7 linked regions of the Ovis aries genome follow. The protein of the gene in region 7 interacts with the protein of the main gene of each other region in a pairwise test. Links are inferred from orthologs where the notes say so. Each region holds a gene or a part of one and is shown on either strand. Other genes may lie near its edges. The genes, in order: AQP5, HMOX1, MS4A1, STX8, ABHD16A, FAM3C and CREB3.

Evidence for each region.
Region 1: the proteins of CREB3 (region 7) and AQP5 interact in a two-hybrid assay, tested with the Homo sapiens proteins (2 studies listed by BioGRID and IntAct). The two-hybrid records come from large-scale screens. The link is inferred for Ovis aries from reciprocal best matches to the Homo sapiens genes CREB3 and AQP5.
Region 2: the proteins of CREB3 (region 7) and HMOX1 interact in a two-hybrid assay, tested with the Homo sapiens proteins (2 studies listed by BioGRID and IntAct). The two-hybrid records come from large-scale screens. The link is inferred for Ovis aries from reciprocal best matches to the Homo sapiens genes CREB3 and HMOX1.
Region 3: the proteins of CREB3 (region 7) and MS4A1 interact in a two-hybrid assay, tested with the Homo sapiens proteins (2 studies listed by BioGRID and IntAct). The two-hybrid records come from large-scale screens. The link is inferred for Ovis aries from reciprocal best matches to the Homo sapiens genes CREB3 and MS4A1.
Region 4: the proteins of CREB3 (region 7) and STX8 interact in a two-hybrid assay, tested with the Homo sapiens proteins (3 studies listed by BioGRID and IntAct). The two-hybrid records come from large-scale screens. The link is inferred for Ovis aries from reciprocal best matches to the Homo sapiens genes CREB3 and STX8.
Region 5: the proteins of CREB3 (region 7) and ABHD16A interact in a two-hybrid assay, tested with the Homo sapiens proteins (2 studies listed by BioGRID and IntAct). The two-hybrid records come from large-scale screens. The link is inferred for Ovis aries from reciprocal best matches to the Homo sapiens genes CREB3 and ABHD16A.
Region 6: the proteins of CREB3 (region 7) and FAM3C interact in a two-hybrid assay, tested with the Homo sapiens proteins (2 studies listed by BioGRID and IntAct). The two-hybrid records come from large-scale screens. The link is inferred for Ovis aries from reciprocal best matches to the Homo sapiens genes CREB3 and FAM3C.

Annotation. Positions count from the first base shown.
Region 1 is NC_056056.1:136,330,172-136,334,715, forward strand, and holds the start of AQP5 (aquaporin-5), read right to left. Parts: upstream 3,039-4,544; 5' UTR 2,920-3,038; coding exon 2,557-2,919; intron 1,463-2,556; coding exon 1,298-1,462; intron 921-1,297; coding exon 837-920; intron 1-836. UniProt on the Homo sapiens protein: Aquaporins form homotetrameric transmembrane channels, with each monomer independently mediating water transport across the plasma membrane along its osmotic gradient. Plays an important role in fluid secretion in salivary glands.
Region 2 is NC_056056.1:179,237,763-179,241,019, forward strand, and holds part of HMOX1 (heme oxygenase 1), read left to right. Parts: intron 1-739; coding exon 740-1,231; intron 1,232-3,257.
Region 3 is NC_056068.1:81,834,181-81,838,039, forward strand, and holds part of MS4A1 (B-lymphocyte antigen CD20), read left to right. Parts: intron 1-1,686; 5' UTR 1,687-1,701; coding exon 1,702-1,860; intron 1,861-2,389; coding exon 2,390-2,509; intron 2,510-3,676; coding exon 3,677-3,733; intron 3,734-3,859. UniProt on the Homo sapiens protein: B-lymphocyte-specific membrane protein that plays a role in the regulation of cellular calcium influx necessary for the development, differentiation, and activation of B-lymphocytes.
Region 4 is NC_056064.1:28,677,220-28,681,832, reverse strand, and holds the start of STX8 (syntaxin-8), read left to right. Parts: upstream 1-1,764; 5' UTR 1,765-1,776; coding exon of another isoform or gene 1,777-1,793; intron 1,794-3,062; 5' UTR 3,063-3,087; coding exon 3,088-3,170; intron 3,171-4,613. Other genes in the region: CFAP52 (cilia- and flagella-associated protein 52), read right to left, coding at 859-940. UniProt on the Homo sapiens protein: Vesicle trafficking protein that functions in the early secretory pathway, possibly by mediating retrograde transport from cis-Golgi membranes to the ER.
Region 5 is NC_056073.1:26,686,709-26,691,089, forward strand, and holds the start of ABHD16A (phosphatidylserine lipase ABHD16A), read left to right. Parts: upstream 1-1,549; coding exon 1,550-1,681; intron 1,682-2,663; coding exon 2,664-2,720; intron 2,721-3,436; coding exon 3,437-3,503; intron 3,504-3,749; coding exon 3,750-3,836; intron 3,837-4,381. UniProt on the Homo sapiens protein: Phosphatidylserine (PS) lipase that mediates the hydrolysis of phosphatidylserine to generate lysophosphatidylserine (LPS). LPS constitutes a class of signaling lipids that regulates immunological and neurological processes.
Region 6 is NC_056057.1:87,537,126-87,541,536, reverse strand, and holds the start of FAM3C (protein FAM3C), read left to right. Parts: upstream 1-1,527; 5' UTR 1,528-1,686; exon of another isoform or gene 1,687-1,725; intron 1,726-4,411. UniProt on the Homo sapiens protein: May be involved in retinal laminar formation. Promotes epithelial to mesenchymal transition.
Region 7 is NC_056055.1:52,808,334-52,812,749, reverse strand, and holds the start of CREB3 (cyclic AMP-responsive element-binding protein 3), read left to right. Parts: upstream 1-1,522; 5' UTR 1,523-1,668; coding exon 1,669-1,806; intron 1,807-1,921; coding exon 1,922-2,069; intron 2,070-2,144; coding exon 2,145-2,212; intron 2,213-2,323; coding exon 2,324-2,413; intron 2,414-3,884; coding exon 3,885-3,991; intron 3,992-4,099; coding exon 4,100-4,168; intron 4,169-4,416. UniProt on the Homo sapiens protein: Endoplasmic reticulum (ER)-bound sequence-specific transcription factor that directly binds DNA and activates transcription. Plays a role in the unfolded protein response (UPR), promoting cell survival versus ER stress-induced apoptotic cell death.

The sequences.
Region 1 (4,544 bases), on a different chromosome or scaffold from region 7:
TCAGGGACAGATCAACTGACACCCCACTCCCCGATGACCAAGGACACTGACACCCAGGTGCTGAAAGGGTCCAGAGGGACAGGGCCCCCGCCAACCCCACTACGCCACTGCTGCAAGCCGCATTCAACTCTTTGCGACGGTATGGACTGTAGCCCGCAAGGCTTCTCTGTCAATGGGATTCTGCAGGCAAGAATACTGGAGTGGGCTGCCGTGTCCTCCTCCAGGGGATCTTCCCAACCCAGGGATCGAACCTGCAGTCTCTTACGTCTCCTGCATTGGCAGGCAGGTTCTTTACCACTGGCGTCACCTGGGAAGCCCACCAACCCCACCCTAAAGAGAGACAAATGAACCTTCAGAGGGAAGAGACATGGAGAACCTCAGAGAGATGAACACAGGGAGAGAGACAGACTCTGGAGAGAGACCATGAACTCTCAAAGGAGATGACAGACAGATTGTCCAGAGGGACAGACCCACAGGAAGGCAGACTCTCCCCAGTCCCCAACAGGGACAGATAAATAATACATCAGAGAGGACAGACACTTGGACCTCCCTGCCCCCTGCCACCCCAAAAGATGGAAACCAAATCCTCAGAGATCAACTCCAGAGCACAGGTGCCTTTCCCTTCCCTAGAGGGACAGACACGCATAGTCGCTGCCCCCCAAACAGGGTCCCCTGCCATCTAAATCTAGCCCTGGTTCTGGCTGCATCCCCTTCTCTCTCCAGTCACCCCCAAGCTCTGGGCCCCCATCATCCAGAAAGTCCTGTTAACTGTCAACTGCTAAGGCTGGGTTTCTAGGCACTCATTGCCAGGGAGACAGGGGAGGGTCCAGCCTTACCCAGTGTGCGGAGCTGAACCGACTCATGATCACTGCGGGACCGAAAGATCGGGCCGGGTTCATGGAGCAGCCCGTGAAGTAGATCTAGACAGAGAGAAGGAGGCCGTGAGGAGGGCAGCATGCCTGTCCACACTCACAAGGCCTGGACCCACGCTGGGGTCCCCTAGCAGTTCAGGGGCTCAGCCAGGCATCCAACTGTCCCCCGATTCCTAGCCTGGTGCCTTTCCCTTCACAGTTCCCTCTGGACCCTCCTCTCCTCTCTGTCCTGAGCTTGGGCTTGGTTCCTGCCCCCATCCCAACTCCCCCTCGCTCCTGTATTTTCTCACACTGGAGGGGATTGGGTCTGGGCCAGAGTCTAGCAGCTCCACTCTAGGTCTTCACTGGGGTGCTCGTTGATCCAGAAGGTGCTGCCCCAGGGCCCCATTATTTGCCCTGAGGGGCCAAATGGCGCCTTTGCTCACCCCCACTAGGTGGCCCAGTGTGACGGACAGGCCAATGGACAGGGCTGGGGAGCCCACTGGGCTGGTGCGGCGGGAGTCAGTGGAAGAGAAGACGCAGAGTGCCAGCTGGAAGGTCAGAATCATTTCCGCCACCACAGCCTGGCCCGCAGTCGTGTTGTTGTTGAGCTGCAAGGGGATGGTGTGTTAGGATCCCTGCTTTCTTCTGACTCTATGGCCAGGAACCCGCAGGGATGGGGGTCTTGGTCTCCAGGGACTCCTAGGGCCCAAGTGCCTGGAAGCCAAGCCCTGCCACTTCAGGGAGGTCATCTGCCAAAGAGACTATATACTCGCTAGTGCTCAGAAAGCTTGGAACGCAGAGCTGTGGCCAAAGTGACAAAGCTGGGGGACCTCTTCCTGGACACTGGCCCGTCACCAGTCTGCCCAGGCCCAACCCCCACAAGCTGGCATTTACCCTTCCTCCTGTGGGCAGCTGCCCAGTTTGCTTACTGCACCCCCCAAGCCCGCCTCCCGCCCGTGCCTGACCCACTGCCAGTTCCAAACCTCAAACCCGTCTCTCCGGTGGGGCTGACTCATGGTTTGACAATGGCCGAGAAAATCCTCCTCTGTGTTTGATTAATGAACCCAGTTTGCATGGGACAAGGGGGCTGAAACTGGAGTTCTAGGGATGGCGGGAAGGGGAGGGGTCCAGGAGCACAAAGCAATATTCATCAGAGACCATATGTACGGGCACCTGATTAGGGAGCCCACAAACCTGGCTTCTAAACATACCCCCCTGAGTCCCACTCTATGGAGGTCATGGCCATTCCCATGTAATGAGAATGAGAAAAACAAAACCCAGAGAGGTTGGGGTCACCAAAGCCAGGATCACAACCCATCTGTCACTGATGGTTCCATGAGACCACTCCACTGAGGACATCACAGGAGCGATGAGGTGCCCAGGAGGACAGAAGAGCTCGGAGGTAAGACAGGAGAAGAGAGGTAAGAAAAGGCAAACAGCAGGCACCAGGAGAGAGGCTGGGATGAGGCAGCGCGAGGTGGGTGGGCGGGCAGAGGAGGCGGATACCAACCGAGGAGCTGGCGGAGAGCACGCACCACCATGGAGATTCATCTTCCTGGCCTTAGGGTGCTATGACCTTCTTGGCAAAGGTGTTAGCTGGCTGGTCTACTCTGTGCCACCCATCCTGGAGATGGGGCTTGGGGACCAGGTCCAGAGCCCACCCCAGGGTCCCTGCCCCACAGCCAGCCCCCTGGGCACTCACCGCATTGACAGCCAGATTGCCTCGGGCATTGTACGGGGCCAGCCCATAGAGGATTGCGGCGCCAGCAATGGCGCCCACCAGCTGGGCCACCAGGTAGAAGACCGCCCGGAGCAGGGAGATCTGGTTACCGACCAGGAGGGCCAGCGTGATGGCGGGGTTCATGTGGCCACCGCTCACGGGCCCCAGGGCCTGGGCCATGGTACCTATGGCCAGCCCGAAGGCCAGCGAGATCTGCAGGACGCTGGGCATTGCCGACGGCCACTTGAGGGCCGAGCCGAGGCCGAAGAAGACGAAGATGAGGGTGGCCAGGAACTCTGCGAACACCGCCTTGAGGAAGGCTGCGGAGCACACCTCCTTCTTCATGGTGTCGAGGCAGCAGCCCCCGCAGGGGTCGCCCGTTTGGGCGGCAGCGGTGCAGGGGGTGGGGGGCTGGCTCGGGGGCGCCGCACAGTCTCGGGTGCCCGCGGCGTGGCTAGCGACGTGGCACGGGGCCTGCGGGGGCGCGCTATATACCAGGCAGGCGGCCCGCGGCGGGGCGGGCCCGGGGGGGCAGTGGGCGGCTCCCGCGCCCGGGGGCCAGCACCGCGCGCACGGAGGGCACTTCAGGGCCGCCGCGCCCCCGGCCCCGCGCGCCCCCCCGCCCGGGCAGCCGCACGCCCTCTGGGGCCACGTGACCCGGCCGGCGGTGTAGACCGGCCCGGCGGGCTGGGACCCGCGCATAGTGCGCTCCGGGCGGCTCCCGCGCTCCTACTCCACTGTCTGTCCCGGGCTCCCGGGGAGACTTTGCTGGCTCTGGGCTCTGCCGCTCTTCGGCCCTCCGGACGGGTGCCTCCGCTGAGCCTTGATCTCTGGCGTGGTCTTCCCCTTTTCTTCTCTCCGGGCGCTGGGTCCAGCTCCTCCTTTTCCTCCTGCGACCTGGGCATCCTGACCCGGCCTCATGCCCGGCCGGGCTGGAATGATGCGCTTCCCTGAGGACAGCGCCGCCGCCACCCAGCTCCCTGCGGGCCCGCGGTGGCGGGGGCGGGGGCGGACGGCCGGGCAGGGCCTTGCGGGGCGGTCAGGCCATCGCGGGCCTCTCCCTGACTCGGGCGGGGCAGACCTCCTGGATTGGAGCCGGGGCGTTTGGGATTAATGAGCCGGGGCGTTTGGGATTAATGAGCACCGTGCCAGCCTGCCCCGGACTTGGCCATCCTCGCATCCACTCTCTATTTCACCTTTGGTCATCTCTTTTACTCTCTGTGACTTTGTCAGTCTTTGCATCATTTTCCACGTCTGAATGTCTTACATGTGGTCTTTTTTAGTTCCCCCAAAGTCAAGTTCTCCCACCCGTGAACTGGGTAACACTTTCTTCCAGTCCTTCCCAGTCCCTCCTCTCCGCCGCCCCTTCTTCCCCCGACCCGCACCCCTCCCATCCTTCCCTCTTTCCTAATCCCCGGGTAGGTATGTGGGGAATGAGGCTGGAGGGCCCTTGAGAGCTTGGAAGAGGGGCAAAGACTGACCCCCGAGATTCCAGGAGTGGAGCTGCACTGAAGACGCCTCCACCGCTCCCATGCCCCATCTTTGGGAAGCACAGTCTGGTGCTTGGCACAGAGGCTCCAGTAAAGTTTCCTCACATGGTGACTGTAATTTTAAAAGCCTCCTGCAGAGGGAGGGAACAGGTGCTGTTCCGTCAGAGGGCTGAGGGGCGGGCTGGAGGAAAGTCAAGGACCTGGAGGAGGAACCTGGGCTCCATGGCAGCTAAGAAGCCAAAGAAAACAAGGGGGGAAGAAACCTTGCTATTGTTCCTGCTCTGCCCTGGTTTCCTGCGGGAGCTGCTCCTCCCCCAGGTCTCTCCTCTTAAGACAGGGGGCCATCTGCCCTGGGTCCTGTGGCCCTGATCCTGGCAGAGGGTGACAGGATCTTCATCTGGGCTTGGGGGCACAGGGGTCTGTGGGCCTGGTACAGACCGGTGCAGACTGGAACAATGACATTCGTGACCCCAGAGGCCT
Region 2 (3,257 bases), on a different chromosome or scaffold from region 7:
GAGTGGAGTTAGGACCAGGTCGGTCACAGTTGAAAACCCAGGCTGCTCTGTACCAGGCTGCCTGGGTTTCTGCCCTGGTGAGAGACAGTGCTCCCATGAATGATTAAAGGTTCAGAAATCACCTGAAAACCTCAGCCGGAACATCTAAACTTTGTCCTCTTTCTAACTCAAAACTAGAAAATTAATGTGTAATGGGAGTTACCCGAGCCAAGGGGCACTGGGCTGTCTGTCCCCCAGCCCAGCTTTCAGAGGTGATGGGGTTCAGAGGGGTCTTCTGGGGAGAGCTGTGCCCTGCAGATGGATCCCCAGAAGTCAAAAGCCAGGGAGAGGTGCCTGGCATCTCCTGTAAGCACTTTCATTCACTTACTTTCTCCAGAAAGCCATGCCTGTGCTTGGCTCCATTTCTGTTTCTTACTAGCTTTGTGACTTCTGTGTCTCATACCCTCTCTGAGCCTTAGTGTCTTTTCTGTAAAATGGGCATAGCCATTCCTTTGTTAGATTTTTCCAAGGATGAAATGAGGATTCGTATTTTTTCCAGTGTAATAAAAGGTTTTTAGGCTCAGACAGTGCACGATGAAAATTTTCTCCTGTGACACTTTCTCTGGCTGCCACGTGGGGAGGATTGGAGGGGCTGGCAGGAGGTGGGAGCCCAGCCTGGGGAGGTGACAAGGATGACTCTGAAGGCGATAGTGCGAAGGGGCTGGGTGCTCTGATAACCACCTACTTGCTCTGGTTTCAGCTGGTGATGGCATCTTTGTACCACATCTACGTGGCCCTGGAGGAGGAGATCGAACGCAACAAGGAGAACCCCGTCTATACTCCCCTCTACTTCCCAGAGGAGCTGCACCGCCGGGCCGCCCTGGAGCAGGACATGGCCTTCTGGTACGGGCCCCGCTGGCAGGAGGCCATCCCCTACACACAGGCCACCAAGTGCTATGTTCAGCGACTCCAGGAGGTGGGGCGCGCCGAGCCCGAACTGCTGGTGGCCCATGCCTACACCCGCTACCTGGGCGACCTGTCTGGGGGCCAAGTTCTCAAGAAGATTGCTCAGAAGGCCCTGAACCTGCCCAGCTCTGGGGAGGGCCTGGCCTTCTTCACTTTCCCCAATATCGCCAGCGCCACCAAGTTCAAGCAGCTGTACCGCTCCCGCATGAACACGCTGGAGATGACCCCCGAGGTCCGGCAGAGGGTCCTGGACGAGGCCAAGACCGCCTTCCTGCTCAACATCCAGGTGAGGGTCTGGGCTGTGCTGCGTGGCCACCCTGCCTCCAGCTGCTCTTCCAGGGACATTTCTCGCAGGGTTGGGGGCGGGGGGCGTCAGCGGTCATGGTTAAGGGCAGGGGCTTGGGGTCCAGGGTTCCAGTTCTGTCACTTACCTGGTGGGGTGATCTTAGGCAAATCTTTATCTTAATCACTTTGTACTTCAGTTTCCCTATCTGTAAAATGGGGATATAATAGCACTTAGCTCACAGAGTTGTTGTGACTGCTTAAATCAATCAAGTCCCCAAAGCAGGACATGTTACAGGGTCAGCCCTCGAACATTCAGTTCAGTTCAGTTGCTCAGTTGTGTCTGACTCTTTGCGACCCCATGAATCACAGCACGCCAGGCCTCCCTGTCCATCACCAACTCCGGGAGTTCACTCAAACTCATGTCCAGCGAGTCGGTGATGCCATCCAGCCATCTCATCCTCTGTTGACCCTTCTCCTCCTGCCCCCAGTCCCTCCCAGCATCAGGGTCTTTTCCAGTGAGTCAGTTGTTCGCATGAGGTGTCCAAAGTATTGGAGTTTCAGCTTCAGCATCATTCCTTCCAATGAACACCCAGGACTGATCTCCTTTAGGATGGACTGGTTGGATCTCCTTGCAGTCCATGGGACTTTCAAGAGTCTTCTCCAACACCACAGTTCAAAAGCATCAATTCTTCGGCGCTTAGCTTTCTTCACAGTCCAACTCTCACAACCATACATGACCACTGGAAAAACCATAGCCTTGACTAGACGGACCTTTGTTGGCAAAGTAATATCTCTGCTTTTCAATATGCTATCTAGGTTGGTCATAACTTTCCTTCTAAGGAGTAAGCGTCTTTTAATTTCATGGCTGCAGTCACCATCTGCAGTGATTTTGGAGCCCAAAAACATAAAGTCTGACACTGTTTCCACTGTTTTCCCATCTATTTCCCATGAAGTGATGGGACCAGATGCCATGATCTTAGTTTTCTGAATGTTGAGCTTCAAGCCAACTTTTTCACTCTCCTCTTTCACTTTCATCAAGAGGCTTTTTAGTTCCTCTTCACTTTCTGCCATAAGGGTGGTGTCATCTGCATATCTGAGGTTATTGATATTTCTCCCAGCAATCTTGATTCCAGCTTGTGTTTCTTCCAGTCCAGCGTTTCTCGTGATGTACTCTACTCTGCATATAAGTTAAATAAGCAGGGTGACAATATACAGCCTTGACGTACTCCTTTTCCTATTTGGAACCAGTGTGTTGTTCCATGTCCAGTTCTAACTGTTGCTTCTTGACCTGCATACAGGTTTCTCAAGAGACAGGTCAGGTGGTCTGGTATTCCCATCTCTTTCAGAATTTTCCACAGTTTCTTGTGAGCCACACAATCAAAGGCTTTGGCATAGTCAATAAAGCAGAAATAGATGTTTTCTGGCACTCTCTTGCTTTTTCGATGATCAGCGGATGTGGGCAGTTAGCTACGGTTATTGTACGATGTGAGCATCACCATTGTGGCACTCTGTGACAACTCCCTGTGACGACATACAAGTAGGCTGTGTGCTCATATGTAGCCAGGTTGGCACTGCAGGGTTCACGGATGCTGCAGACCTGGCCTCCGCCATCTGGGCCTCTCAGCCCAGCCAGGAGGCGTGATCTGTTCTTTCTACAAGTGTCTCAAATCCAGGGGAAGATGGGTTTTGCCTTGAAAGGTGATCTCTTAGGCAGAGCCAGGGTGGGTGTTCCCAGTGGGGGTGAGATTCCTTCTAACCCTGATGTTGTAGAATTCTGTCGCTCTCCTCCTATCTGGAGGCCCTGTGGGAACTGGGCTCTTAGTTTATGCTTTCCTGGCTCCTTATTCCCAGCCTGGGATCCCAGAAGAGATTGGTCATAGCACTTGCTATTGAGCAATGTGCGTCCTTTGCATACCACTAAAAACCCAGCACACCTGGTCACTCTTCTAAGAAAAGCTGTATCTTTCAGAAAGGTGGTGTAGAAAGAACAGGCGCTCTGGAGCCAGAGCCCCATGGGAGGGCTGGCC
Region 3 (3,859 bases), on a different chromosome or scaffold from region 7:
GAGGCACACACGCCATACGGCCATTTAAGTCTTACAGCGACTGTATGAGACAGGAATTATCACTGTCCTCGTGTTATGGCTGAAGGACTTGAGGCCCAGAGTTTGCAGAACTTTCCCAATGTTTCACAGCAAACAGGGAAGTCTTGATCTAAACCTAGGCAGTCTGATGTGCGACTCAGGAGGCCACCGTCTTACACAGAACCTTCGAGAACCTCCCTGAGGCGATGCGCTCAAGACTGCAGAGTGAGTGGGAGCAGGGCAGACTGTACCAGCCCCTCCTGACTGCAGGCACAGTCGTCACCATCTTCCACCCGTCCATCTGCTCATGGTGACTCTGGCCCATCACCACGGACAAAAGCAGATAAGCTAAGGGACGAGGACAAGCCCGTGAAAAATACATTTTCTTATGTTAAAGCACAAGAAAAGCATCCAAGGCTGACAGACGCACAGAACCCACGAGTTAGCGAGCGTGACACTCTCCACAGAGCAAAACCATGACCCTCGTGTGGGTGTCGAGAACACTGGCAGGGACCCCTGAGCCAGATCCCTGTACATTTAAAAAACAGTCACAGCCTAAAAGTTGAGAATGTCCTTTTATTTGGCAGAAATTTGTAGGACTTAAGCCCAGGAGGCAGCATCTCAAGGAATCCTGAGAGAACTGCCCTGAAGAGCTGAGGGAAGGCGCCTGGGAAGGCACCAGGTCATTCAGAAGTTTTGAAACAAAAGGCAGCTAGCCTGAACATCAAGGTGTTACTGTTAATTAAAGGAAATCAGACCTTCCAAGTTAGGGGACCCGGTGCTTTTCTGTGTATGGAAGATGTAAGAGTCTGGGCTCCCAGAAATCTTTCCTTTCCTATTGTTCAGCCGCTCAGTCATGTCTGATCCCATGGACTGCAGCACGCCAGGCCTCCCGGGCCTTCACCATATCCTGGAGCTGGCTCAAACTCATGTCCATTGCGTCAGGGATGCCATCCAGCCATCTCATCCTCTGTCGTCCCCTTCTCCTCCTGCTCCCAATCCCTCCCAGCATCAGAGTCTTTTCCAATGAGTCAACTCTTCGCATGAGGTGGCCAAAGTACTGGAGTTTCAGCTTTAGCATCGGTGCTTCCAATGAATATTCAGGACTGATCTCCTTTAGAATGGACTGGTTGAATCTCCTTGTTGTCCAAGGGACTCATAAGAGTCTTCTCTGACACCAAAGTTCAAAAGCATCGGTTCTTCGGCGCTCAGCTTTCCTTATGGACCAACTCTGACATCCATACATGACCACTGGAAAAATCATAGCCTTGGCTAGATGGACTTTTGTTGGCAAAGTAATGTCTCTGCTTTTTAAAATGCTGTCTAGGTTGGTCATAACTTTTCTTCCAAGGAGCAAGCCTCTTTTAATGGGTGCCCTTAGAGCTCAGAAATTCACACTGCAGGGCCAGAATCACTGCTGACTCTGCCATCCTCAGTCACTGACCAGGCAGGAAATACTCCACGTGTCGTGCTTTGTCTGAGATGCTCCCCCAGACCCTGTCTCAGAACGTGGAGGGAGGCCTTGCCTCGATCCAAAGCCAGTAGGAAGAGGCCCTGACTGCCTTCAGTGACACCGTGCAGAGAACACAGGGGAAACCATTCAGATCCATGACAAGGTAGAGGTTGGCTGACAATCCTGTTTCCTCTCATCTTATCATTTATCCTCAGGAGTCTGAGGGTGAGATGACGACTCCCAGGAATTCAGTGGTTGGAGCTTTCCCAGCAGAGCCCCTGAAAGGCCCCCCCGCTATGCACGCTGCTCAGAAAGGGGTCCCCAGGAGGGCGCCCACGGTGGTGGGCCCCACACAGAGCTTCTTCATGAGGGAGGCGAAGGCTCTGGGGGTAAGTCAGTCGCCCTGCACTCCACACCCTAGGGACTCCCTGGCCTCTAGAAGCAGCTGCTATGGGCCAGGCACAGGATCCAACCTGACTTAAAGGTATTGGATCCAACATGAGGTGTTCTTTATGTCTGACATGGCCGGGGTGGGGGGGGGGGGCGGGGCGAGGGGGGAGGATCAAACCAGGGACGCGAAGAGATGGCTGCCGCTTATGCCCCCCTGCCCTGTGCCTTAGACTGGCACAGTTAGGGGCCTGCACCCCAGCTCATCACCCGCGTCCCAGCGCACCTGCCTTGGGAGTGCCGGGGGGTGGGGGAAGTGGGCCTGAAGACGACAGAGGTCTTGGGCCCTTTAGCGCGGGCTCTGGACATCTCACGCTGCCCCTGAAGACCACAGAGGTCTTGGGCCCTGTAGCGCTGGCTCTGGACATCTCACGCCGCCCTTCCGCTCAGGAGTCAAGGCTTCCAGGCCCCCTCCTGCTTCCTGACTCTCCGATTTCAGTCCCACCACCAGCGCCCCTCTCCTCCCCCCAGGCCGTCCAGATCATGAACGGGCTGTTCCACATTGCCCTGGGCAGCCTCATGCTGATCCACGCGGACGTCTACATGCCCATCTGTGTAACCTTGTGGTACCCTCTCTGGGGAGGCATCGTGGTGAGTAAAGCCTAGTAACCTTTTGAGGGAGTGATACACAAATGTTCAAAGAAGCTCCATGGGAATGTACCAGATCACCTGTGTGTTGAGGAAAGCATAGGACTGGGGAACAGGTTGTCTGGTTGAAGTGATTTAAAGGAAAAAGAGTCTGAGTTGAGCCCGAGTCTCGTGGTTGAGTCAGTGGTCATGCTTCTTGGGAATTCAGAGAAAGCGGCCCGACGTGGATGTCCACAGTGAGGGAAGACCGCTCCAAGCACGACCTCTCCAAACTCAGCGGCTGGGGTGGAGCTGGGTGGGTCCTAGACTTGAGGGTTGGTGTTTCAGAAAGCAAGAGTGGGTGGGGGCATCGCAGCTGCTCCCACCTGGCCCTTCTTCCCGAGGATTCTCTTCAGTTCCTGTCTCATGTGGTGAGACAGTCGCGTGCCGAGTGAGTCCCCCTCGCCTGCCAGTGGGGCAGTAATCCCCACGGCTGCCTCACGTGCAGTTTCCAAGCCTGAAGCCCTGTGTGGATGAGGCGTGAGGCAGCGACGTCTCTATCCCCACTACACTTTCGTAGATGAGCTGTGAAGACAGGCTCAGGACTGAAATTTTCAGGGCAAGAAGAGATCGATTAGAGCCAGAGTTTCCCCCATTTCACAGCTTAAAGAGTAAAAGGAAGACGGGAAACAATGGTCACTTCCTGTAGCTGCCCACATTTTAGCAGAGCGCCTGCTCCAGGCAGGCCACGTGCGTCTTCTACGGCAGTCCACTCATCATTGCCATCAGTCATTAAAGCACTGTGAACTCCAAAGAACCATTCCCTCAATTTTTTTTTTTAATGGAAAGCTAAAAATAAAGCTTTTAAGTTCACTGTGTGAGAACTAATTGACATGGAAATGTGAGTTCTGCCTCTGGTTTTACTAAATGCCTAGTCACAGATCCCCAGCTGGTTGAATGAAAGGCAAGGATTTAATGTGGTTGGGCCTGAATAGTGGAGAAAGATGTGCTGAAAAATGAATGAAGCCATTAAAAAGGGCTGAATAGCGCAGGGAAAGTGGTTGAAAGGGTGGACAGCTTTTTCACAGTTGCTTCTCCGCATTAAAAGGTGATCTTCCCCTCTGCCCCTCTCCCCGCTGCTTCTCCCATCTCTCCCCACCCCTCCCCTCCCACCACCTCTCTTGTGTACAGCACATCATTTCTGGATCACTGCTGGCAGCAGCGGAGAAGAACTCCACGCAGAGCATGGCAAGTAGCGCACGCCCTCCTTTCCCACACATCAGAGCAGCATCTGCTGTCCCCGCTGGAAACAAGGGCCCTGGAAGACCCTTGGAGTCACAGTCACTGTTACCCCTCAACCCCCAGGAGGGAAAG
Region 4 (4,613 bases), on a different chromosome or scaffold from region 7:
AGATGGCCAGTACTAGGGTGTACTAAGTGCTCGATTTCTATCAGAGACCGTTAACATAAAACGAAGAGAAGACTCAAGAGCCAAGTCCTAGAATGTGCTAAAGCTTTAGGTATTGATTGTTCTGTGTCTACATTACTACAATTTTAAAGCTTTCAGGCATCACAATGCACTTTCTTTAAAAGCTGGCTTTTTCTAAAATGCAATCCATTGCTTGTTTTCATCCTTCTCAAAACCCAAACAGCATTTCCCCTCTTCATGTTCCAGATAGGAGGTGGTCATAAGTCAGAACCAGGCCCCTCTGACCAAAGCACCTCTCCGGTCCATCCCCCCCTGGTGTCCATCATGGTCTGAAATCCTCACCTTCCTTCTGGTTAGAAGACAAATCATCCCCTAAAGCGGTTGCTCAAAACACAAATTCCCCACTCCCTCCAGCCCCTTCTTATTAGTGTATCAGCTGGGATTTTAGAGGTTACTTGTTCCCAGGGACCTACACGTATTCTGTAACCCAATACTGAGGCGCAGGCAGTTTTGCTGGCTGTGTGGGGCTTAGAGCCAGGGGAGAGCTGGCCAGTGCGAGAACGGTTTCAGATAGCATTTTTTTTATCCTTATGGCCTAGTGAGGGGGCATTTGGTTCCTTTCAGACGTTTGCAAAACCCATCCCATTCTTTAAGGCCTGGAGCGAGGACATGATTCTAAGATCTTTGGGGAGGAGAGGCTGTCTGGGTCCCCAGTGCTTGACTCATGCCAGCGTCCCAAGCTGCCTTCCAGGTGCCACCTGGTGTCTCACTCTCCCTGGTTGCACCACACTGTCCTTGGGGTCCCTAAACCACCCAGCCCAGACACGCTCGAGGTCTCACCATTGAATCCGATCACGGCCTCAAGCTCCAGCTCTACTGCCTCAGCCACCTCATCCTTGGGCGAAGTTTGGGTCTCCATCATCTGGAGACTCCGCTCACTTTCCTCTCAGCCTACAGAAGGTGCAGCGTCTTCTGGTCGTTATGGTAACGGACTTGCGCATGCGCGCTAGATCCGCGGTCGCGCTGAAAGCCGGCCTACGGAGTCCGAGTCCTTTTGCCCTCGCGAAAATCGAGAGGGCATTTTTTTTTTTTTCTTTTTAAATTTTCTAGTATTTCTCTGGAAATTTAAGGGGCACGAAATGGACAGACTAATTCCCTCCTCCCCCATGTAAAGAGTCTGTGACCTTTTGGGTAACGATATAATCAAATACTTGATGGCATTTAAAAATTAGACAAAGTTAAGTGCCTCTGCTGGCAAGGCTGCTATAATATATAATTGACACTTCTTTGGGTCCCTTGAAGCAGGATAAAACAAACAAACAAACTATTGAGGTATAAATTACATATCCTAAAATTTATTTAAATTGAGTTTTAGTAAATTTATACAATTGTGCAATTATCACCACAATCCAGTTTTTTTTCTTTGTTTTAAGCAGAATAAAATGTTAAATAACTGCTAGAGGTCTTAAGGGGCTCCCACCTTCCGGGGAAAATGATGGGATTTTGCTCGAAAACAATTTTATTTTAATTGCACCCAGCTGTTCGCGTCTCTTAGGACGCAAACTGGTCCAGCCCTCAGTCCCCGGGGAAGCGCTTTCCTTTTTCTCATATCAATAGATTGGAGGCCTTAGGGTATGTATATTGCAAACTACGAGTTCCGGGCGCGCACGGGTCGAGCCGCAGGGTGTGAGCCGCGCGGGCCGCCGTAGTCAGCTGCTGCGAGCAGGAAGTGTCCGAGCTGCGGGCGGAGACTGCACCATGGCCCCGGACCCCTGGTGAGCCCCGGGTGAGGGCGGCAGCGCGCGGACGGTCTCGGGGGAGGCCAGGCTTCCGGGGAGCGGGTGATCGCTAGGCATTGGGGCCGGGGGCCTTTCAGAATGAGGGGTGGGGGAGCAGGGATCCTTCTGCTGCCGCCGAGAGCCGGGGGTTGAGGGGCTGCGCTCCGTCGCATCCCGCCGCCACTCTCGGTCCTGCAGGGGTGGCTGGGGTGGGAGACGCGGTGTACACTTGGAGGAGTTCCAGCGCCGAATCTCTGAGCCGCATCTCCATCCTGGTGGTGGAGCTGGCTGATGCGGGACTCCTGTGAAAGTGAAGTACAGAGTAACCTTTTTGGTGGAACCCAAGTCCCTCTGGTCAATTTCCTTATTTCGCCGGTAGCGAAACCGAGGTTCAGAATTCACGGGAGTAAGCGAGTTAGTAACCAGTTGACGCTGGGGTCTAGATCTTGTGCGCCCTTCAAAGAAAACTTACAGGAATCTGGGAAGGAAATTATGCCTGTTGTTGATAAGGTATTTTGTCCTCACCTCAGTATCATGAAGACTGTCTACAGCAGCAACTTATGCAGTAAAACAGTAGCTGAGAAGAGTCTTTTATTCAACAGTAAAGTCCCTAGGACTGAATGATGAAAGGCACAAATTCCGATCCAAGGAACCTACTGCAATAGCATATTCACTTGAGCTTTTCGTTTACTAATTAAAAACCGTCTAGCTCTACAAAGTTCTTTTTGGAGAATATGTCTCACATTAGTACTTCTAACATAGTTTATAGTTAATTTGCAGACAGTCTGGATATTAATAGATTAACTTTGCAAGATCAAAGTTAATCTACCTAGGATCTGGATTGTCTGGACCAATGGCTTAACTGATTCCATACTATTTTTTTTTCACCTGATTTTAACACCCTGATAGAAAAATTTAGAAAATACTGAATATTTGCAGAGGGAAAAAAAGAAAAAAGAAACATCCTTAATTCTATCATCTGGAATAATTGCTGTTGACTTTTTAAATGAATTTTTTACTTTGTGTAATATATGTGTGTATATAATGTATTTTATAGAAACAGAGACCATTTCTCTGTATCGCAAATATTCCCTGAAAACACAATCTTTATGTTGCTTAATAGTGTATCATGTGAATAACCATGATGGAGTGTGATTTAATCATTGTCCCTTTGTACCTTTTTAAAAAACACTACGGTTTTTTTTGCTTTTATTTTTTTTAATTGCCCCTTGGTACCATCTCTCACTTCTTTGACTTGCTTCCTAGAAGTGGAGCTACTGGGTCCAAGAGTATGAACATCTTTAAGGCCCTTGATACAGATGGCTGCGTTGCCCTCCACTTCATGGAGGCTAATTCCCTCATTTTACACATAAGGTAGGATATATAGCTCAGAAATAAGGTAGAGGTCCCAGGGTATCCATTTAGATGGGTGGAAACTATCCCCAAGCCCCTAGGCCTCTTCCTTGGTTAACGTGCAAAAAGCACTGATAATTTCTCCTGCTACTCTGAAGAAGTTTAACTTAGCAGCTTTCTCATGTTTGTTGAAAGTGAGACACTGGGGGACTCTGCTGTGCTCAGTCAACTTCCTTGAAAAGTGGGCTGCTGATCAGGAGAGCAGAAAGGAGTAGGGAATAGGACTTAGAAAAATCTAGAAAAACAGACTTGATTACAGCTTCGCCCTCCTGCGATCGAGAATCATGTCAGTGATGCTTTACTCATGTTTGGAAGTAGAATATGACTGTTACTCTTTTAATGGCATATCAAAGCAAATGGTAAGCTCACTGTGTGATAGAAATATCGCATGGTGACTGTCTCTGAACAGGCTCTTTGCTAAAAGTTAATCAGCTTTATCACTTTTTCGCTCTCCATTCCAGTTCCTCAGCCTCTGTCATGGCGTCACCATCCTCTTAGTCTCTTAAACCTAAAAAACTCTAGTTATCTACTTTTTCTTCATTCGTCCTGTCAGATTATTGACTCATCTCCATGATTTTTATTTTTTTCTCTTCTGCTGTTGTCCAATCCTTTATAGCCTTATGGTTTACAGAAGTAAATGTTGGTGGCTAGTTATGGAGCTGAATAGCTGGAGAAGTCTTCTACTGGTCTCCTTTACTCTTCTTTCATTCCCAATGATTTGTGTACATGGAGTTCAGGTTACTTTTCCTAAACTAGCACTTTAGGCGCCTGTGTGTTTGATTCCATCGTCAGGTTGCCCATTACCACTAGGCCAGTGGTTCTCAAGCTGTGCTATAGATTGGAATCTCCCGGGGAGCTTTACAACTCCTCACGTCTAGGGCAAGGCCCCTGCCAATTCAATCAGAATACTTGGGGTATGAGGAAGCTTTAAAACACGTCCCCAGTGATTCAGGGGGTTTCCAAGGTACTTCAGTGGTAAAGAATCTGCCTGCTGATGCCGGAGATGCAGCTTGGATCCCTGGGTGGGAAGATCCCCTGGAGAAGGAAAGGGCAACCCATTCCAGTATTATTGCCGGGAAATCCCATGGACAGAGGAGCCTGGCAAGCTACAACCCATGGGGTCACAAAAGAGTTGGACACAACTGAGGACTTGCAGACCAGACAGTGATCCACATGTATAGAAGAACTTCAGAACCAGTTTGTAGAGCTCATGTGAGAACCAAGGATTAGGAGCAAGGCAACTGGGGTTTTGGCCGTAAGCGTTTCACATAACCTCTTCAAGGCCTCAGTTTCTCTGTAAAAGTATACCCCACAGTTCTCAAATTCCCTTCAAACCTTATTATTATGCTACTCAAGACTCTGCAGAAACTAACTTCAACTCCTTTCTGCCATCTTGTTCTTCAC
Region 5 (4,381 bases), on a different chromosome or scaffold from region 7:
CCCACCAGGCTCCTCTGTCCATGGGATTTCCCAGGCAAGATTACTGGAGTGGGGTGCCAATTCCTTCTCCAGAGGATCTCCCTGACCCGGGGCTTCCCTGGTGGCTCAGATGGTAAAGAGTCTGCCTGCAATGTGAGAGACCCAGGTTCAATTCCTGGGTGGGGAAGATCCCCTGGAAAAGGAAATGGCAATCCACTCCAGTATTCTTGCCTGGAAAATCCCATGGATGGAGAAGCCTGGCGGGCTACAGTCCATGGAGTCGAAAAGAGTCCAACATGACCTGACCCAGGGATCAAACCTGCATCTCCTTCATTGACAGGGGATTCCTTACCACTGAAGCACTTGGGGAGCACCTGTATAAAGTTCAAAAACAGGCAAAAGTAACGTCTGAAGTTAAATTAAAATAGTGGTTACCCATGGAAGGATCTAGAGATTATCACACTAAATGAAATAAGCATGCATCATGCTAAGTCACTTCAGTCGTGTCCAACTCTTTGTGACCCTATAGACTGTCATCCACTAGGCTCCTCTGTCCATAGGATTCTCCAGGGAAAAATACTGGAGTGGGTTGCCACTCCCTCCTTGAGGGTATCTTCCCCATCCATGTTGCTTAAGTCTCCTGAATTGGCAGGCGAATTCTTTACCACTAGCGCCACCTGGGAAGCCCAGAAGAAGTAAGTCAGAAAGACAAGTACCGTATGACATCACTTACATGACAAATGAATTTATCTATGAATCAGACTCACAGATATATTTAATTAGTGCACCTTTCTGTATATGTGTTTACTACAATGAAAAGCTAAAGGGTTTATATATTATGTAGGTGTAAGGTACAAAGAAAAAAAAACAGCATACCTTTTGAGAAATAGAATATTACCCTTTCAGCCAACGATCCTCTACGCTGTGTAACAGTGTTATACATTTGCTCTTTATCTTTCACATAATTGATCATTGAATTTTATGTGTTTTTTAACTTCATACTATGGTGTCATCTTGTATGTAATTATGGTTCTGAGAATTGTTCACGCTTAAGTGCGATAATTCATCCTTTTGTTTTTAACCAGTGTTTCACACATCTTAACGATACTGAATCTTCCTATTCATAACCATGGCGTAGCTATTTATTCAAGCCTTCGCTTACCTCTTTCAGTAATTTTTGTAATTTGTTCCTAACATCTTGCATTTCTTTTCTTAGATGTATTCCTAGATATTTTTGTTGCTCTTTTCAAACGCTAATCTTACCCCTTTTTCCCACTGTCGCTCGAGAGTCTGCCAATATTAAGGGGCAGAAAAAAGTGACTTAACCATGTCTCATGATAGTTCTAACTCTCCACAATCCAAACGCCTGCAGCTAATTTCTGACCACTGCTGCACCCGTAGCTCCGAATGCAGGAAACCCTACTCAAGAAGCGCTGAAACTGTCTCAACTGGGCGCGAGGCGGAGCCGGTACGTGCTGACGTCAAGGGCACGCAACACCTTAGCGGCCCTGGGAGGGCGGGGCTGACAGGGGGACCTGCTGCTGGAAGAGCAGCGGCCCGGGCCGGGGCCATGGCGAAGCTGCTGAGCTGCGTCCTAGGCCCCCGGCTCTACAAAATCTACCGGGAAAGGGACTCTGAAAGGGCCCCGTCCAGCGTCCCTGGGACTCCAACTTCAGTCACTAACCCTCACTCCAGCTCCTGGGTGAGTCGATTCTCCCCTGGTTAAAAAAATAGTACGGCCCAAACCCCTTTGCGGCCTTTGCTCCCCAGAAGCACCCATTATTGGAAGTCGGGAGAGACTGCTTGTCAAGCCAGTTTTCCGCAAAGTCTGTGCTCTTTGTGCTTCCTGGGTTAAAGTCGCGCCTGTGGACTGACCGCCTGCTTTACTGCTGTTTGCCAGTGCTTTCTCATTCCGACTGCCACTCCTAGCTTTTTCCTTTCGCGACCCCTCACCCTGCTCTTCGTGGTTCATGCCATTCCCAATTGACTCCTAAATCCTGGAAGAGAACCCGCTCGGATTCCGGAGCTGGATGATTTTGCCTTCAAACTCTCAATTTCCTCGTACCCCGTGCCTCACCCGGTTCCGTTTATCTCCCCTGGCCTTGAATTTCAAAATGACTTCTGCAACATTTAATATATCCGGTCTCCCCCACCCCACCTCTAGTCTACCTTAGAGACCTCAGGATCATTGTGTTCAAGAAAGCCGGTGAGGTGGTAGGCAGTGCCCCTAAATGCGCTCCTCCTTTTTATCGGTAGTCTCAAATTATGTCCATTGTACTCTACAAACTGCCCACCCCCAGCCACATTCTCTTCCTTAATGAATCTGCGCTTCCGATGCTTTTCTTTTCCTCTTAAAGTTGTCATGGTGTCGTTTCTTCCCTAACCCCGATCCCCATCCGCCCACCACCCATTTGAAACTCGTTTGTGGAAAAGGAGCAAAAGTCGGCCAAAGCTGCTTTCACTTTTGCTTCCAAGTCCAGGCCCCTGTGTTTGTTCTCAGGATCTGGAGTGAGAGATCAGGTTATGAGTCAGGGTGGGGAAGAGGGGAAGCAAAGACGTCCCAGGAGAGATGATTTTGGGAGCTAGGACTAGAGTGTTGGAGAACACACATCAGGCCTTCCAAAAGGGATGGTGGAGGCCTTGTCAAGGAGCAGGGTCCTTAATTCGGCCATCTGTTTTGGCAGGATACGTACTATCAGCCCCGTGCCCTCGAGAAACATGCTGACAGCATCCTGGCACTGGTATGTCTGCCCTGGCATCTGGGACTACCGCATCTTTTCAGATCCAATTGCCCTCTTGAACCTTCTCCTTCCCATCCTGGGAGAAGGCAGTACCCCTAGGGGTGGGGGATGCTCTGGGCTCTGCAGCAGGCATCTCCAACACACATACACCCAGACAGCTCTCCAGCGTGCATACTTGGTACTCCCCTTTGGCCTATGCACGGCTTTCTCTGGGGCAGCGTGAACCGTTGCGGAAACCGTGTTTACTTTCGGGACCATCCGCAGGTGCTGAGTCCTGCAGTCCCCAGTGACCTGTCCTCCCTGGCAACTAACCTCTTTGGCTGCAGAGACAGCTGTTCTCTCTGGCAAGGTTCCTTTGGTGACATTTGTGCATCTCTTAGGGACCGGGCCAGGGACTGTCCTGAGCAGGGCTGATTGAAAAGGCTTGATTACCTTGAGTGGAAAGAGACTGGTCTTTACGTGTGATGAAATTATGTCCAGAGATGATGAGAGGAAGACAATAGAAGCCGTGCCAAGTTTTCCCAGCCTCTGTTAACGCTCTGACACACTACCTTTCAGCAAATAATTGAGCACCTTCTGTGTGCGTGGGGTCATGCACAGAATAGGTACTTGATGTGATATCCCTCAGGTTATTCACTTTGCTCAGAGCCTAGACCCGGTAATGGCAGACCTGTGTGTGTGTGTATTGATTGCTTGTCCCTGTCTCTCTGCTGCAGGCTTCAGTCTTCTGGTCCATCTCTTACTACTCCTCTCCCTTCGCCTTCTTCTACTTGTACAGGAAAGGTCAGTGTGACTTCAAAGGTGATGGGACAGGAAATGGGCAGATCATTGGCAGCTGAGCCGATTCCCCAATGAGGAAAGGGGACCTGGGATGAGGATGGCTTGGCTTCCCTCTTCCATCAGGCATCTTCTCCCTCTGAGGGCCTGCTGTCCCCCAAAGAGGGTGTGGTGGGGAGGTTGGGACTGAACTTGGCAGAGGGGCTGGGGGCCAGTGGAAAAGCTTTTCACATAATCCTTCTCCCCTCCCAGGTTACTTGAGTTTGTCCAAAGTGGTGCCATTTTCTCACTATGCTGGGACACTGCTTCTACTGCTGGCGGGAGTGGCCTGCCTCCGAGGTAGGTGGAGAGGGAGCCTGGTTTGGATCTGTCCATCACTGGGTAAATATTCATTAAATACCTTCTGCAAATACCATTTGGTGCTAGGCCCTGAGGGGAAGTAATCAGTGGTCAAGACATGATCTTTTCCTTAAAGGGCTTGAGTCATAAGTATGAACAAATACTTAGCAAAAAGGTTTGCTATTATCTAGAAAAGCTGCACATACCCTCCGACAGTTCCATACATATCTATGTATGTTTGTAATAATCCTACACTGGACTCCATGACCCCACATAGCAGGATGGATAAATATGTTAGAAGGTCAAGTCCTAACCCAGAACACCAGAGAGCAAGGCACTGGACGAACTGGTTACACTCAGCTACACAGATGAATCTCACAGATGCAACGGGGACCACCAGATAATTTATGCACTATGTTTCCATTTACATGAAGTTCCAAGGGATGCATAAATAAGTGGCACAACACGGAAGAGAAACACAGGCATGACTGTCTTAAAAGTCAAAATTAGGGAGAGTGATTACCTGGGAATGGGGAGAGAACAGG
Region 6 (4,411 bases), on a different chromosome or scaffold from region 7:
GGTGGTTGGATGGCATCACCCACACGATGGACATGGGTTTGGGTGGACTCCGGGAGTTGGTGATGGACAGGGAGGCCTGGCGTGCTGCGGTTCATGGGGTTGCAAATAGTCAGACACGACTGAGCGACTGAACTGAACTGAAATTCTCTCAGTGGGACCTAGGGATCAAGGGAAGGTGTGTAACATGTTGTATTTTTGTATCATAAGAAACGAAGTGCCGTATTTGTTTGAAGCTAGATGGACCAGGCTAGAATTCCAACTTCACAACGTACTCCCTTATATTTTCAAACAAGTGATTTAAACTCAACTTTGGAGTCTTGGTTTTTTTATCAGTTAAAGCAAAACACAGCTATTATCGACTTCAGTCTGAGTTGGGAACATTAAATGGGAACACATTCCCAAATGCCCAGCAAGGTGCAAGCAAAGAAGGCTCTCAGAATGCATTTATTGCTTCTTTATCCTATCATAGAACACACACTTCCAAATTCACAGCTATTATTTAAGTTCGGTATTTTCTATTTTTCCAGGTATGTTGACTTGGTAGAATACTATGATTAAACCCTATTATTTCTTTAATGCAATTTAATTTCTACAACCATGTATTGTCTTGATATTCTACCTAATATTGCTAATAAGAATTATAGTTATTAATTATTTTGGAATGTGGATCAGAATTATGAAACAATTTTGCATTTGCAGCTTTTGGTTTGATCTCCCAGTTAACACATGATCGTGTGAAAACGTGTGTACAGGAGAAAAACATTTCTGTTACGTTGCTAAATACATTACAGGATGCTTGGGGCTGGTGCACTGGGATGACCCAGTGGGATGGTATGAGGAGGGAGGTGAGAGGGGGCTTCAGGATTGGGAACATGTGTACACCCGTGGCGGATTCATGTTGATGTATGGCAAAACCAATACAATATTGTAAAGTAACTAGCCTCCAATCAAAATAAATAAATTTAAATTAAAAAAGCAAAAAAAAAAAAAGAAAAAAAAAGAAAAAAAGAAAGTGAGGTGCAAAATACAAGAACTGCCTTTCTCCTTGAGTCCAACATTTAAGGTTACCAGCGTTCTGCTGCTCAGTCAGGTAGTATCTTTGCCATAGGTGAGCTAGTTTAGGAGTCAGGAGGATATAATGATCATCTCGAATATGGAGCTCTAAAATGGGACTGATTATTTTAAAATTTCTTCCTTTAAGGCGGGGATTATGGAAGTGTGACTGAAGGCAGAGGGTGGCGGACGAGGGAGCGCGGGGAGAGGCCGTGACACTTCTGCCCTGTTCTGGGGTGCAGACGGCCGCCGCCCCCTCCTCTCCCACGTGGCAGGTCCAGACAGCCCGGCGCGGACAGGGGGCGGGGCCGCAGAGCCCTCCCTTGGCTATCCGGCCCTTCCTCGGGCCTGCACGGCGCCAGCTCAGTCCTCCACCGCCAGGGGGCGGGCGCGGCTTGCCGGCGGCGGGGGCCCATTGGTTGCGCCGGGGAAGCGGGGGAGGCGGCCCAGCGGCGAGCTGGCTTCCTTCTGGCCAGTCGCAGGGGTGAGGGGAAGCCGGAGGAACCCAGGAGGAAGCGGAGGAGCGAACCGGAGGCGGCGGCGGCGGCGGCGGCTCCCGTCGGCCTTCTGCAAGACTGACCGCAGGGAGCCCGGAAAGCGGGCGCGCGCGGCGGAGAGGCGGGCTGGAGGCCGGTGAGACGGACCGGGAGGCGGACCGAGCCGCGGCCGAAGGCAGGGAGTCTGAGGGAGGCGGGGGGGAGCCGGGCACCCACCTTCACCTTCATCCTCCGCTCCCGCCGCGATCGCCGGCCCGGGGCGTGCCGGGGTGGTCGGGGCGCGTCCCGCCGGGGGCAGGGCGCGATGGGAGCGGGGCACCGGAGCGTGGCGGGCCGGGGGTCCAGGCCGCCGGCCCCGCGCGGGCATCCCCAGCCGGGCGGCCAGTCTCCGGGCTCCGCGGAGGGCGGGGCGGCGCCTGCACCTGGCGCTCCGGCCTGGGGCTGGCACCTGGGGCGCGCGTCCAGCGCTCGGTCTCCAGCTCGGGTCGGAAATGCGGGCCGAGTGCTCTAAAGGGGCGGGGATGGAGTTGGATGTTGCGTTAGAACTCTGTGGAGGGCGATCTTGGCTCAGTTGTAAAGTTTCAGTGTCTTCTGAGCTGGAGGTACTTTTTATTTTTTAAACCTATCCAGCCCATTGGTATTCAGTATCACGGATGGACGTACTATTCTTTTTTCTTTTCTTTTTTTGCCACTTGTTTGCCGCTAAGCTCACAGTTTTTACAATATGTTACAATTTGTGACCCTAGATCTTAAATAATGAGTGATGGACTGACAATCTCCAGCTGAATTTTTTTTATTTTCATCACTCTCTGCATTTTTAAAAAAATTTCTGATCATACAAAACTGTTTAATTCACAGAACCTTTTCTTTGTTTCTTTCTATTTGGCCAAAAAGAGTATGAATACAGTTGCTTACGAGGCGCTGTGCCAGCTGCTTTCAGATGCACATTTATTTCTTAACGACCCATAGAGTATGTGCATTTTCCCAATTTTACTGAGAAAATATGAACTCCCCTAGAGGTTAGGTTCAAAAAGATAGAGACTAGCAGGAGATCCCAGACCCCTTGAACTCTTAACTACCTTTCAGGGCTAGTGATATCCTGTCAAATTTTATAGGTTTTGGGGAGACCTTAATGTTATTCATGCAGTGCATTATTGAGTACAACGGGATCTCCATTTAACTTAGAAAATTCAAGTTACTAGCACCAGCAAGAGATTGGCAGAATCAGCATCTGGTTGTGGTCATATCCATATCATTAACTATACCTCTTTTTAAAGGCTGCCAGTCTCAAGTTCTGTGGCAGTTTACTAATTAAATCACAGCGTTTCTGCCGCCCCGCCCCCCACTTTATACAGGTGTGAGAAGCTTTAGTCTGTGTAATGTTATCTAAACTCATTTTTCTTGATAGCAAGAAATAAAAAGAGTTTGATGCAGTGATACTCTCCCAGGGGATCTCTCAGAATCACCTATAAATGAGACTTCAAAAAAGGACACAAGTCAGGTTCCTCCCCAAGACCCCAATGGAGGGATCTTCTGTTTAAAAGGGAGTCAAAGTAAGACTGAGGGCCACTAGGTTAAAGTGACGTTTTAAATAAACTTAATAGCTGTTACAATTTTAAAAATAATTACTAAGTAACTAAATCTTTTTGTAATTAAAGAAGATACCTTAAAAAGGAAAAGATCATTGGAGAGAATGTCAGAGGATAAAGAGATTGTTGTTGAATGGTGATATGTAGTCCTTGTGGGGCATCAGAAGAGTCTTAACTTTTATTTAACCACATATTTTAAGTCTTAAATGGTCAGCCTCAGTATTTGAAAACTTGTATATTCATAATTAGACATACCAGAGTACTTATTTGTGCCTGCTGGTAATTATAGGTAACATGGATACTGTGAATAAGGCAGCCTTGGCTCTCAAAGCTACTGTACTTTCTCTGAGGTAGTGAGTCTTCCCCCACCCCCGACTCCTTACTTTTATAACTCCTTTCTCAGAGCTGAAAGGTCCAAGACCTAAGAAGTAAGAGATTTTGGTCTTATGTATCACAGAAATGCATCTAGCTGAGAATTTAGTAAATAGCAAACATTTGTCTTAAACTTAGTCCAGAAGAGTTCCTGAACCTGGGATCAGAAAATTGGGATTTTAAGCAGTAATTCTGCAATTAGTTCATTGCCCAATAGAGGGCATTGACCAATTTATTTAATATCATATTTTGCCTAATTTCCTTAATCTGATTGGGGTGATTGCACATGACTCCCAAGCTCTTTAAACTTGAAAAGGTTTTGTGAATTTTATTCTGCTCTTAAAATAGAGTCAGCTGATATTTTCTCAGGGGAGAAAATTATGTTCCACTACCTCTAAGTTTCCACAGTTTCACCCCATCAGTATTCTTCCATTGTCTTCTTCACTGGCCTGTTCATTTGATTCAAGCTATTTTTATTACTTATATCTCCCTTATTTCCAATCTAATTAATTTTCATTTGTTCTTTATTTTTCTAGCTTCACTCTGGTGAGTTTTTCAGTTGCCTTTAAAAATTAATCTATGTAACATAAAATTTACTATTTTTAAGTGTACAATTCTGTGACATTTAGTGCGTTCATAGTATTGGGAGGTCATCACATCTTTTTTTAAAATAATTTATTTAATTGGAGGCTAATTACAATTTTGTAGTGGTTCTTAACCATACACTGACATGAATCAGCCATGGGTATACATGTGTTCCCCATCCTGAACCCTCCTCCCACCTCCCTCCCCATCCCATTCCTCAGGGTCATCCCAGTGCACCATGTCAGGTCAGCCCTGAGCACCCTGTCTCATGCATCGAACCTGGACTGAACGATCTCTTTCACATATGGTAATATA
Region 7 (4,416 bases):
TAGAATTAAGCTGGAATCCCTGATGCCAGCAATTCCAGCTAGCCCAGAACCCTAGCCTGAAATTAGTCTGTCATTTCCCTGGGCCAAAGAAGCCTTCCCCACAAAACAAGGGCATCTACCTACTGCCAGTCTCTTAAATTTCACCTGCCTGAGGTCAACTACCCTGACCTCAACTACAGCACAGAAAACTGCCTGAAATTTCTAACATTAATGCTGACCATAATTTGTCTCCTGATTCCCAGTACTGGATTTGACAGGCATCCCTGTCCTACCACATACCTGAATCCAATCCCTGATCCCTAATTTTGATCTAATTTTTACCTGTAGCATCAACTCTGGACCTTTAACCCTGAATCTTCATCCCTAAACCTAAAGTTCATTTGTCACTTGATTCCTGATTCACCCCTTTCTTGTTTATCCCCTGTACTGGCTATGCTAACCTTCTCTAATCCCTAAATCTGGACTTCTAACTTAGTTTCTGTTGTTGACCCTTAACCTGAACTCTAATGTTGGTCGTTATAGAAAACAAAATAATGCCCTTAATCCAAACCTCACCTACACAAAACGCACCTCACACTAATAAATCTAAATTTTAACCCCAGCTGCACACTCCTAAAGCTAACCTTAACTCCTAAAACCCAACTCCACCTAATCTCCAACTCACCCATTCCTGCTCACGTACCCGCTATCAGCTAACCTCAAAGCCGATCCCCGCCCTGCGTCACACTGCCACCCACTCCTCACCCTCCCTCTAAACTATCCTAGGCCGAGGACTGCTCCAGGAAGGGCCTGGCTGCCGAAAAACTGCCTATTTAACTCAGAGCACAAGCAGAGATACACCGGACGCGAACCTCTCCAAGATGACCCGAAACAGACGCAGAAGTCAGGGGCCCTGCCCGCCCGCCTCCCAGGCCTGGTGTCGCGGCCCCACCCTGAGGCCCCAGTTCGCCCGGTCCGGCCTACCTGCGCTGCCCGGCTCTGTGCCCCGCCCGCCGGCCCGCTAACCCGCTCGTTCTCCCGGTGGCTCTCGGGCTGCGGCCTCGCCCTCCCTTCGACACTCTCGGCCACTTCCGTCCCGGGAACGTCCCCCACCCGCGGGCGGCGCCCTGGGCCCGCGCTCTATGGTCGCGGGCACTGCAGGAAGCTGCTCTGGCCCCAGCTCTCGATGCTCGGGAGCCCGCTGACGACCGGCAGCCCCTCCCCAGCCGGAAGCGAGGGTGCGGTGCAGTCCCGAGGAAGCGCCAGAACTGCGCCCTAGTTCCCTTTTAGGCTGTAATCCTTCCTTTTTCTAGCCCGGGGCGGAGCCGCTTCCTCAGAATGCCCGCCCTCAGGGACTGCGGAGGCGGAAGGCACGTCCCCTCTATTTGCATCGCGCCCTGGACGTGGCGCGTACAGCGGCAGCCTCCGCGTCGGGGTGGGGTGGGGGACTCCAACTCCCGGCATGCCTCGCGGGTAGGTGCGTCACTTGTGTTCTGTTGGAAGTCTAGCGGGGAGTGGAGTCTGGAAGGCGTGTCCCGGTTTCAGAGCCTTCGCCAGCAGCTAGGAGGAAAACGCCGCTGAAGAGCCGATAGGTGGGGCCGACTGACAGTCCGTCGCGGTTACGCCTGGTTGGGGATAGGGTCCGGGTGGCGAGGTGAACTCCTGTGTTTCTGCGCATCTTTTCCATAAATGTCTCATATGGAGCTGGCGTTGGACCCGGGTGACCGTGACCTGCTAGGCTTTCTGCTAGAGGAAAGCGGTGGTTTGGGTGCGGCGCCCGACGAGGCCTTGGCGTCTCCGCCGGATTGGGAGCTGCCACTTTCTGAGGCGAGTGGGGGGCTCTGAGTCGGGGAGGCGTGAGGCGGGTTTGTGGGCGGGGTAGGGGTGTCCCTGAGGCAGGGGGTGGTGATGGTCAAAGCCTGTCAATTTGAACCCTGTGCAGTCTCTGAGCGATTGGGACGTGGAGGATTTCCTGAGCTGCCTGCCGAGTCCCCCATCATCGTTGAACGTTTTCAGCAGCTCTAACTCCTGTCTTGTCCAGCATGACCACACCTATTCTCTCTCACAAGAGCATGTCTCCATAGATCTAGGTAAGCCTGAAATAAGTGAAGTTTGGGAAAGGAGAGGACTCCGAGGCCTGACTACTCATATTTTCCCTTTTGCAGATAATGAGAGCTATGGAAAAGAGGGGACTCAGATGACTCCACTGTGTGTGGAGGAGCCGGCAGATCAGGTACTTGACTTATAGGAGGGTTATTTCCGTATTGCGCGGGTCGGGGCAGTATTCCGCGTTACTTTCTGAAATCCCTTTGCAACTCTGCTGCCCATCTCTCCGGAACCGCAGGAGATTGCTAGGCTGATACTGACTGAGGAGGAGAAAAGGCTGTTGGAGAAGGAGGGGCTTACTTTGCCTGGGATGCTTCCACTCACTAAGGTAAGTCTCCCATCGCGGGGACGGGGGTTGTGAGTTCCAAGTAGGCCAGTTCTGTTAATTTTGTATCAGTAACTTGAAAAAGAATTGAGGTGAGAGATTAGCACATTTTTGAGTAGGAAGCTGGGGCATGTGGTTAGTATACTGCTTGCAAGGACAGATCCTGGTTTGTAGTGCTTTTATAAATTTTGGTGTTCTTTTTAACTAAGAATTCAAAATTATCAGGGTAATATTAGTAAAGGGATTTGGAAAGTACTGTACAAGCGCGGGGCTCTGATACTTATATTTCACTGGTTTCATGCAATTTACTTGTAGCTGAATAGTAAATCAAGTATTAGAGTAGTATAACAAGTAGTATAACAATTAAGTAGTATAACAAGAGTAAATGTGAAATTTGGAGTTTCAAGCAATGAGAGGCAGTTTCACATGCACAGTATTGTGATACTATGATGAAATCAATGTCTGTTAACAGAAAGGTTAACAATTTTAATTTCTCAAAAATATAAGTTGAGGCAATCCCCTGGCAATCCAGTGGTTAGGACTCTGTGCTTTCACTGCTCAGGGTCAGGGTGCAATCCTGGTCTGCACCAGGGTGCAATCCCCTGGTCTGGGAACTGAGATTCCACAAGTGCGAGGTGTGGCCAAAAAAAAGTACAAGTTGAGTCAACAGTGTGATATGGCTACTAAGGAAGAGAATGGGGTTTAGAAGCTGTATCATCAGATTTAGTTGTTGTTGTTTGGTCGCTAAGTCGTGTCCAACTCTTTGTAATTCCATGGACTATGGCCCCCAAACTCCTCTGTCCATGGGATTTCCCAGACAAGAATACTGGAGTACGTTGCAATTTCCTTCTCCAGGGGATCATCCCAACCCAGGGATGGAACCTGTGTTTCCTGAGTCGCCTGCATTGTAGGCAGATTCTTTACTGCTGAGGCACTGGGGAAGCCCAGTTGTATCATCAGATACCAGTTATCTAATAGTGTTGCCACTAGAAGGGCAGTAACTATCTTGTTTTCTTTTACATTGGCCAAAAAGCTTCTTAAGTTTTGAGCCTATTATCTTTGACAGATATTAAGAAGATGCAGTCCATCCTGAGAAGAGATAAGATGATGAGTTAAAATTTTTGCCCAGTTTTTTTTTTTTTTTTTAACTCTGAAGAAATGCCAAGTGCTTTAAAATAGCTGAAGACCTTTGTTCTATTATGGCCCCAGAGATTAGGTGCTAGGTAAGTCCAACAGGTAGAAATAACAAAGGCAGATGTTGGCTCATAAGGAAGGTTTTAAAAAAAAATTATCTAACAAAATTGTTACAATGGTTTGGCTTGTGAGGACAGAAGCATTCAGACAGAAGCAGAGTGCCTATTGGTCAGGGAAATTGTAGAAGGAATCTCTGCTTTGAGAAGATTGAACTCGGTTGCCTTCAAACTCTTTGGTCTAATGTTCCTCTGATGGGATCCCTTTTCCTGTCTTCTCCCAGATGGAGGAACAAGTCCTGAAACGAGTGCGGAGGAAGATTCGAAACAAAAAGTCTGCTCAAGAGAGCCGTAGGAAGAAGAAGGTGTATGTGGGGGGTTTAGAAAGCAGGTATGAAAGGGAGCTGGACTCGGGGGTGGGAGAAACAGGTAATTGGAAGTGTGAGGTTTTTGAAGGGAGGATACAGGCCATGTCCCCACATCCCTGTTATTCCTCCAGGGTCCTGAAATACACAGCCCAGAATCTGGAGCTACAGAACAAAGTACAGCTCCTGGAGGAACAGAATCTGTAAGCAGCTCTTTCACATCAGGGTTTGCTCATCCCTCCCGCTTACTACTGTCTCAGTCTTTCTCCTGCTCCATATTTGATTTGTCACCGGGCATCTCTCACATATGTCTGATGCTTGGTCTTTAGTGGGTCTCTGATTCCATGAAGCTCACAGTAATGGGGAATAAATTCACAAGTATAAGTATCAAGGAGGAAGAGAGGGAGTAAGACCTCATGTGGCAGATGGCATTTGATAGAAGATATGATTC